Drosophila melanogaster: one gene and its partner. The protein of the gene in region 1 interacts with the protein of each later gene in a biochemical or structural test. Each region holds a gene or a part of one and is shown on either strand. Other genes may lie near its edges. The genes, in order: nmo and pk.

The links.
Region 2: of the proteins of nmo (region 1) and pk, one has a biochemical effect on the other in vitro, tested with the Drosophila melanogaster proteins (one study listed by BioGRID).

Annotation. Positions count from the first base shown.
Region 1 is NT_037436.4:7,977,150-7,982,298, reverse strand, and holds the start of nmo (nemo), read right to left. Parts: upstream 3,254-5,149; 5' UTR 3,126-3,253; exon of another isoform or gene 2,790-3,125; 5' UTR 2,619-2,789; intron 1,900-2,618; 5' UTR 1,481-1,899; coding exon 1,317-1,480; intron 1-1,316. Other genes in the region: POP4 ribonuclease P/MRP subunit, read left to right, coding at 3,694-4,314; CG8209 (uncharacterized protein), read right to left, coding at 4,630-4,972, 5,029-5,149.
Region 2 is NT_033778.4:7,185,507-7,190,471, reverse strand, and holds the start of pk (prickle), read right to left. Parts: upstream 3,240-4,965; 5' UTR 2,859-3,239; intron 1-2,858. UniProt on the Drosophila melanogaster protein: Acts in a planar cell polarity (PCP) complex; polarization along the apical/basal axis of epithelial cells. Correct expression of the alternative isoforms is required for PCP signaling in imaginal disks.

The DNA of each region.
Region 1 (5,149 bases):
CTAAACCATCGGGGCCCCTTGTGTGCCAGTTTTTAACTGGCTTCCCTGCGGACGACCAACGACGACCACTCCCCCACCGGCAGCACTCCTCAAAAGACCCGCCCGATAAACTGGGCTCACTTTGCGTTTTGATTATAGCCGGAAATGCCGTTTTACACGTGAATGAAATTTGTAAATGCAGCGTTGCCAAACTTCTGGCTACACTACGAATAAATTGATAGGAAGTCGAGTTAAATAATAAATAGATATGATGATTTCATATTGCCACCTTTTTTTGTGCTATGTTAAAATCATTTGCTTGATAGATTTGCAGCTTTTCGGTTACATTGATAACAAAATGTTGCTAATCCATATTAGATATTTTACTTTACCCAGTAAACAAACAAATATTCAATGCTCACCCCATTTAAGCAACCATTAATGTAAAATTTTGCACACAAATGTAAATCAAAAGAGTCGAGGGGATAGAAAAAAAAAAGCAGAGAGAGGCCGATAAACGAGGAGATGGGCAAATAGAAAAGTCCAAATTGAGGGGGGGGGAGGGAGGCCAAAACACGGAGAGCCAGCCAGTCAGCCAGCCAGCGCGCTTAGGGTAAGAAATATATTATAGGAAAAATCCACCCTCGGGGGGCCGCAGCAACGTTGAAAACTGCACAAAGGCACAAAACCATGAAGGACAGCTAGCTGAGACCCGGGACTGAGGTTCTGAATCGAAATGAGTACGAGGATGTTGACGTTGCCCGCTGCACAAAACATCAACATCAACAGCAGCAACACAATCAAAAGGGTTACAGAATCAAAGGCCTAAGCAGAAGGTTGCTGAACCCACGGCGAGACCGTGACATAAAATCGCACAGCAAAGTAACGACGCTGCAGATACCCTTTCTTCGAATAGAACAAAGACTTTTTCAAGTCAAAGAACAACTGTTTAATCTTTAGATATTTGAATTATAAAAGTACATTGACAGGAGGGTATTAACATTTGGATTCGAAGTCGGTCTTACAACTTTTTAACCGAATGTGTTTATAATGAAATCATTTACAAATTATCATTACATGAATTCTTTAAGGGGCACAAGCATATAATAGGATATGACGTTAATACACCCTTTTCTGCATTCTATACCACCTATTGTCTTATAATTCTCAAATATAATTGCCCATTTCGGCGGGATGTCTTTGGACAACCAGCAAAACAACCCGAAAATAACCATGCTTGCTAAACCAAGAAAAAATTTGATTGTACCAATACTATGGCAACACCCTTCGCCCATAATCTGGATTATTGCACTGAGATATAGAATCATTATACTTACCAGACAACTCCGAATGCTCCATAGCCGATAGGACGATCCGGCTGAACATCCTGGGGAACAGCCGGCGGTTGATAGTAGGGAGCCGCTGCGGCCAAGATTGCGCTGGCGCCCTGTGGCGCACCACCGGCAGCACCACCCTGTACCAGTGACATCGAAACGCTCATTGATGGACTACGCGGCAAGTTTTCCAAATAATTCGAGCAGCTGCACCCGGTTCTGGTATTTGTTGGCGATGGAGCTCAGTGGTTGTGGTCCTGCTAGGCTGTGGCTTTTACTGGTGGTGGTGGTGGTTTCGACTGGGTCTTGGACTGTGGTTCTGATTCCCAAAGCTGTGACGGCGGTGGTGACTGAGGTGGTTGAGGTGATGGTGTTGCTGGAAGTGGTGCTTGATTTGATGTGGGAGAAATGGTGTTGATTGCTCAATGGATGCCGCTGGGGCCAACTGATGGCCGCCATTCAATTGTTGGCCATTTGTTGCTGTTTGCCTTGGCGTGCTCCTCTATTCAGCGCTATTTGTTTCGCTGCGTGTCGCTTGTTACACTTCTTACTTATTTAAATTAGATTTGAGGACATTGTGATGAAACTGCGGAGTGAAGTGGATAAATAATCATTTGTAGACAGTTGAATTGTGAATAATTTAAACGTTGCTAACAGAATTTACAATCTTGATTTATTTTCACAGTACGCAAGAAAACTATTGAGAATTGATTTCCTATTCGACCACTAGTTACTAGTTACCACTAGGCTCAATATTTTGTATATTCTGTAAAAGCTAGATTTAATTTAATCCGGTTTTGGTATTATTCACTGTACTTTAATTGTCGTTACTTTTGTTTGCTTTTCGAATTTTTGGTGGCAAATGATGCTGCACAGGAATCAAAAAGAAAGAAGAGAGGAGAACAGTGAGAGAGAGCGCGCGAGAGGACATGAAAAGTGCCGTTAGCTGTCGCGACCGGGGCGCGTCCGTGTATTACAATTGTAAGTGTGTGCGCATGTGAGTGCGATTCTGAGTGATTTTCGGACTGCGCTGCCTGCGCAAAAAGCCGCTCAAAAGACACAAAAATCACTTAAAATCCGACTTTTCATGCAAATTTACAAATGTTGAAAACCAAACAATGGCGAGCACCCCCAAGTCGCCAGAAAATGAACGCAATCAAAAAACGCTCGCATGAAAATCGAAAAGTAACGGGACAAAAGAAATTCGCCCGGGGATATGTAATATTTCCCAGGGTTTCGCTTAGCTTTCCGGACTAATTAAACCTAACCTATGCAAACAAGACATTCCATTTCACTTTAAATTACCTTAAAAAATGCACAAATTATTGAGCAGCGGCGGTGGCAGTTTTTCGTTTATAATTTCTTTTCTATTTTTCTTTTTTTTTTGTGTTTAACTCTTCCGCCTTTGTGGGAGCGAGATGGAAGTAAAACGCGCCGGGGGTAATATTCGTGCGTGTGTGTGTGAGAGAGAGTGAACTAGCGGGCGAGACGGAAACAATTTTGTAATTTTGTTTAATTATTATTGTAAATAACGCGAGATGAATTTTTTGTTGTTTGGCGTGTTACTACTACTAACGCGACGGCTGCTCACACACACGCGCATACACAATCGCACGCACGTTTAAACTATGTACATGTATATGCAGAGCCAGACAAACAAACAAAATTTTGCCTGGGTCACGTTTCTTGGCTCTCTCACAGCTTTTTTTCTACGGTTGCCCTTTATTGCATTATCTTTGTTATCACACGGGCCGCGGGGCGTGGCTAAAAGGGGGGCGGGCGGATGTTGGTCGTCGGTTGGCGTTTGATTACCTCGCAGCTTCCCAACGAATGAGCCTAACTTGGATTTTCGATCACACGCGGCGACGTTTGTTTCAACGATAATTCCGAATTCGTGCGCTCGACGTTCCGCTCCGTTCGAAAGTTGAGAGAGACTTGAAACATATGTTCGGCGTTGCTAGAGGTGGTCGGCCACCGATAGAAACATCGATAGGTCCGATGTTTTCCACTCGTATATTAATTCAAGGTTTGGCTATCGATGTTTTTAGAGTGCCCGCACTATATCTATTTCCATCTCTATTTCGTTGGTATTTTTTGTATTTTATGACATTTCAAATGCAAAAGCAGGATGGCAACGCCAGATTGCCCCGAATGTACGTTATTTTTAAATTGCAGCGTTGAATATGAAAAATTGCAGGTACATACAGTTTCTAATAATTAATAGCAATAATTATTATTTAGCTTGTATTATACGAAGTGCACATGCAGCTATGCATCTGAAAAAATAATATTAATATATCGCCTTTTCTTCCATCGATAGAGTTCCGCGCCTATCGATATATTGTTGATCACCAAATAAATAAAACTAAATAACAACGCAATGGAACACGCGACAAGTGAATTGAGGGAATTTATCTCAGATCTGGTGATTCCGCACCAGCGTTGCAATGTTAACATCAATCCGGATCACATCACAATGCTGGAGGGCACCAAGATCAAGAAGCAGCACTCCCGAAAACGTCGCGCCCACAAATCCAGTACGCTGAGTCGCCGGGAATATGCGGCACTTGGTTTGAACACTCTTCCCACCAAGCAGATGAAGTACGAGGAGGCACTGCCACTGCACCACCTGTGGAAGGGCTATGTACGCGAGCATCTGGAGCTGAGGGAAGGTGACGAGGTGCCCCAGGTGCACGATGCTCGCTACGACGAGTTCAGCCGCAAGTTGGTGAAACTGGACTTGCACGGTGCCAAGATGAAGGTGCTGCAGTCCAAGTGCTCCACCCTGGAAAATTTGGCTGGCATCTGCGTCATGGACACCAAGAACGTGCTGAAACTGCTCGGCAAGGACCATCGGCTGCGCACAATACCCAAGAGCGAGTGCGTCTTTGGTATGAAAGTGGGCAACATGGAGTTCACCATATTCGGGCAGCACCTCAACATTCGACCCGCCGAGCGAAGCGTTAAGAAGATCAAGAACTTTGTGAAGCCCTTCATGTAGGAACTACAGGACCAATCATTAGCCATAGAAATTGAATCCTATTGTAATTTAAGGAAAAAAGTTTATTGGAAAGTTAGCATCGCTTTTCAATAGAAATTTAATAATTGCCCTCAAAGATCCTCTAAAACTTTACTTGTATTTGAGATTGTTGTGTTTAATATATATATAAAACCGTACATTAATTGTTTTTCTTGTTTTTTTTTTTTTTTTTTGGGGGGGGGGGGGTATATTTCGCGCCGCGTTTTTTTCGTATTTAGGTTCTAGTTTATGGGAGAGATTACCCGGATTCAAATATATCCAGTTTGTAGGAAAGATTTATGCGGGCGTCTTGGTCATGGTGATGACAGCGGATGGAACCAAGCCGAGCACTTCCAGCGGCTTCTCGTAGTCGTCCTCGGCGAACAGCTTGCGCGGAAAGGTGGTCATCAGAGAGAAGGGCGACTCGATGCCGGTCTTCATCTGGATGAACACACGTACGGCGGACAGCTGCTCCTTGACGTTGAAGGTTTCCTGTAGTGTTGAGCCATCCTGCAGGCGCACCTGGATGCGGGTTTCGGTGTAGTCTCGCGGCGGAGATTTCACACCGGCCGGTGGTGACGAAACTGTGGTGGAGCTCACGGATGGAGCTGGCTCTGCGTTGCCCAATTCCTTTTGTTCTCTGCATACCATGAATTATAATGAATTATGAAGTGGAAGGATAGGGCTAATCCTTACCTAGCCTTGCGTGCTGCCTTGTCCGCCTCAATTTGAGCCTTTACCCGATCGCGGGCCGCCTTCTCCTCGTCCTTTTCGCGCTTGCGCTGCTCAACGATCTTCTTCATCTCCAACTCCTCCA
Region 2 (4,965 bases), on another chromosome or scaffold:
TTGCCAGGCATTTGCCGGGGCTCAAGATTTCATGGCCGGCGGCTGGGAAACTGCGTGGAAAATGGCAGACAGGCGCAATTAATTTTATGACTATTTATGTAGATTTTTCTCGGAGTGTAATTTACAGAAATGCAGGTTAAAAAGTCAATTGCTTTGTCTTGGTTTACTTTCCCAACGCGCAGTTAAGCCGTTCACCGCAGCACTCAACCTTTTGTGTTTAGTGTTGCGCCCACTTGAGCCGCATTTGCCCGGAAAGTCTCTTTTGAACGGGTTAAAATTGTGTTATCAAGCTATCAAGAACCCCATTCAGCGCCACAGAATCTGACATATATATGGACTTATCACTGCCTACCTAAGTGGTTTAGAAAGCCGCAGACGTGACAACTCATTCAGCGCGGCTGCAACTGTAAAATTTCATAATTTATTATGCAGTCGGATGGGCCTATGCAGCTGGCACATTTTCCGATATTACCATACGAATCCCGCCAGGGAGACAATATAAACAATAAGAGATATGCACCCAATAGCGGTCTTCAGAGCTGGATTCTTTCCGGTTCTGTTTGGCAGTCAGGCGGGATGTCTCACTCGCTAATGGATTAACTTGTTTGTCTATTTTACTGCCAAACTATAATTTGAGCCTCTGAAAGCTACGGCTGGGCCAGGCCGTAATAATTACACAGTTTAGGTCCGCCAGCCAAACTAGTTTGGGCGAAAGCCCGGCGATCTAATGAGCCATTGTCTGGGCCTCATATTTCATTGGGTCGGATAATAATCTCACGCCTGGCTTATCGGTGGAGCGGGGTGCTAAACGTCTTTGTCGCCATCGAAATTGATTGCTCTAAGCAGAAATGGAATTCCTTTTCAAGTTTTTATTGCGCTCACATAAAACCCGATCGCATCTCGAAAATCGTTCGATGTCGTGGAAAACAAAGTGAAATGAAAATCGAGTCGGCACGCCGCCAAAATGGACACCTTGTGGGCGGTAGGCAGTTGGCCGGTCTAATCTGCAGCGCACTCGTGTTAAATGTCAAATCCAATCAAATGGCGTTGAGTGAGAGGAAACGAGCGGGCCGGGCCAGCTAACGTTGCTCCATTTTCCGGGGAACCCGTTCTTATCTGCCTGGAAGATGGTTGGGAAACTAACGCGAGCTGACAGGATGACAGTTCAAATTGGCGTTTGCATACGTCCATCGACGGATCCAATACTTATTTACGACTTCCCGCCTCAAAAGCTCATAACGGGGCCTAATTAATTTACAGACCGAAATTCGCTCGCCAATGATGAATAGCTGGGAAATGGTTCGTTAATTGCGTCTTTAAATGGACGTGAGACATGTGTAATATGCAAATGGTGGGGCACAGACACAGAGATTGACATAACGAAGTTAGGTTGTTGACCCACTCGGACCTTTTGTTATGCTAACAAAACCAAGTCGATAACTGTAAAGTGGCCAATCTATTCCGAGGCGGGAATCTTTAGCTGCTTTGTATCTCAGATAGCCCGACAGCCAGATAGCCAGAGCATCTTGCCTTCATGCTCCGGCAATTGTGGCTAGATGGCTGCGTGCGGAGTAAACTAACCAACAAATTAACACGCCAGTTAGTTAGTTAGTTAGTCAGTTCGAGGCGTCGATTGGGGTTAAGCAGCCGTGGCAGTTGGCCCATAGTGAGGGAGAAAGTTGATGCAGCAGCTCCATAATTGAGCCAACTAGTTGCCGCAACTCGGCCATAAACAACAGTTTTATTTCGAACCGCCGCCGGCCGACGCTACATAATTATGAAGAATTTCTCAATAAAGCCCGGAATCGAAGCCAGCCGCAGTGCGAAAATTGATTTAGTTGGCCGGGCCATAAAAGACCAGAGCGAATTGCAGTGTTCCGTTGGTGCTTTATGGCCACCGTGCCTGGGCTATGTACATACACCGCGGAGGAATGCGCCGCAGAACCACTATCGGTGCGCTTTAAATTCAAATTGGCATGTCAGGCAATTAGAAATCGGAGATAAATTTCAACCCCGGCCCACACACACGTTCAGCTCGAGTCAAATGTCTCTTGTCAATGAGGTGTTCGAAGCCCACACAGACACACACACACACACACGGGACTGAAAAGCAATTGCTAACAAGCCATTGTTGACACATTGCCGCCATGTAAGCCCGTTTCATTACACTTCTGTGGGTGGCAGCTGCTTTGGATCACCAGATCCGTAGATCCTCAGCTTTATCTGCACTATGGCCCACCAAAAACTAATTGGATCAAGCGGCGGAGAAAGCCAAGAGCTGTGCGCGGTAATCAAAATATTTCGGGCTTTGGCAAGTGTTTTTATGGCTAGACGAGTCATGTTTTATGTGCTGGAGCGGGTCGTAAGCCTATTTGGTTATGACTTCATTCCGCGAGGCTGCAGCAAGTTGGTGAAAGTGCGCTGCGAATGGCGATTAAAACTTAACGCATCTAAATAAATCAAGCTGAGCACTTCAGTTGACGTGTAATGTGCATAAGCTTATGAAAGCCATTACACCGACGGGCCGGGCATATCCAAAGTTCGTTGCTCAAGTCTTTCGTTTCCTAAGTATCAGCCACACACCTTGGCTAACAGATTCTCGACCTTCGATAATCCCATAAAAATATTGCGCTAAAGCAGCCGGCCCGACGTCTGTGCCTCGCATATCAATCGGCCTCGAATTTCATTTGATTTTTAATGTAATTTTATTGTCAGTTGTATCTGTATCTGAATACGAATACGAAAGCGTTTGTATCAGTGAAGGAGTTTGAGTTTGAGTATCAGCTGGTATCCGTGTTGTACGAAACGAGCTGCGTTGACAATCATCAGGCGAAAACATGGCTTAAATCACATCTCACTTGCCCGTGTGGCTTATCCCGAGCATTTAGCGTAAATGAGCGCTTAGGCCAATTGTTGCATTAATTCACTTGGCCCCAGGAAGGAACACTATGCCAGACTTATTTAGCTGGCCCTGATAGGGACCACTCTGGATTATGGATTGCACTTCACTTTTGTCAATTTTTTGCAATTGTTGCGAATTCAGTTAGCAGCTTTTTGTGCACTTTGCTCCGATCTGGCTGAAAAACGGTAAACGACAGATCTGGCGCAAGATAACGTGGACCGAAATCGACATAGCCGAAGAGCGCGCGATCGATCGATCGTTCAGACGGATTACGCGACGACTAACCCGCACCTGTTGCCAGATGTAAACCGCTCGCAACTGACGACGCTTTCAGACTGATCGAACCTGCCCAGATGTGGATTTCTGTGTGGTTTGATCTTAGGCTGTGGATCGTGTTCGATGAAGGTAAGGTGTTCGTGGGACTTCTTGCTTTAGTGTTCTTTCAACGAGCTGCCAAAATACTATCACTATTAAGTGTAGTTAACGATAACAAGATAGTTTATAGTAATTTGTTTCCGATTTCGTCGTTAAAATTGTCTAAATTTGTATAAAACGCCAAATATCATAAGCTGCAACTCAATCCGCAACTGCAACATCGAACTTGTTTGATAGCTCCATTGCTTACACTACCATCCCAAAAGTATGCTTCGTTACTACGCATTTTTAGAATCATATACATGTAGATTTGCGCGTAAGATTCTCTGTAGAATCTGAGTTCCTAATATTTCATCGTTTAAGTCTAATGTAGAAATATAAGTTTCTTGTTTCTTTTTGCAAACAATATAGGGTTCTAAAATTCTAGATGCTGAAGTATCTGAAGAACTTTCCAGGACTCTATGGGACAATAATAGGGCTTTTACATAGAATGCCTCGTGTTCATAAATAGTGAATTGCGTAATCTACCTTCCCATGGATGTAAGAATTTAGTAGTTATATATCCAGCCGTATTCTGATGGCAGCGCTGTTCAAATCTTAAATAATTAACTTTAAGTAATAAACACCTTGTAAATTAATGGTGTTTAAAGAGCAATAAACTTAAAATAATTAAGTAAGAAAAAACTGCATGTAGTAATGAAGTGCATCAGAAGAGCTGATTACCACACATACACGAAAGAATACGTACTAAAATGATTTTCATACTTTAACAGTTAAAACACTAGAAGGGTACCCAAAAGAGTTTTTAATATGGTAACCGTGAAATACGATTTGGCCAAACCCTTTTGAGTAATTAAGAGTGGTTTTTATAAATTAGATGTGACCAAAAATATAACATAAGCTACATTTAAAGCCGGTACTTAGTGATGAAATATCTCTTGTCAGAAAGCAAAAATATTTCCCAACCACATTGCAAAGTGGGCTTGAAGTGACAAAAAGTGCGATGTCAACCGTGTTGGCCATCTGACGAGTTCAAGGTTGATTTCCAGCTGACCATGTTAGTTGGTCACCATCATTGCCTGCCGACTGGAGATCATTAGGCCGCACATTAGTGCCATCTCAGCGCAGGCTAATTAGAAGCTGAGTGTGAACGGAAACACTACGTTTCTGCGTGCCGCTTTTTGTTGCACAACCTGGGATGCCTCAATGATGCATGATTTATGGCATTTTGAATTGTGGATCGGCGGCGTGTGAAGCTCCCGAGGGGCCGGGCATCAAAGACCTGTCCAGCAATACGTATACTTATGTAGGTTTCTGCGCTTGGCTTACCTGAAACGAAAATGTAAATCGAAGGCAATTAGCTGAGTCTAATAAGGGCCAAAATAAGATTGAGTATAAGAATGGGGATTATAGTTGGATAGCGTTGACGCTATCAAAAAATCAATTTGGCTAATTGCAAGCATAACGGCCTCATTCGTTGCCACATTTCATCAAACACCATTTGGGAAGGAAACGTCAAAAGAGCAGCCCCAAGGTGCAGACAACTTTTAGACACGCCAAGTCTGGGAGGGAATGGCTGGAGTTTAGGGGGCTGGACGTGGTTCGTTTATTAGCGGAATCGAATGGGCCCCAAAGTGTCATCAAATCAATGCAAGCTAGCTCAAATCGAAGTCGGCTTCCAAACTTTT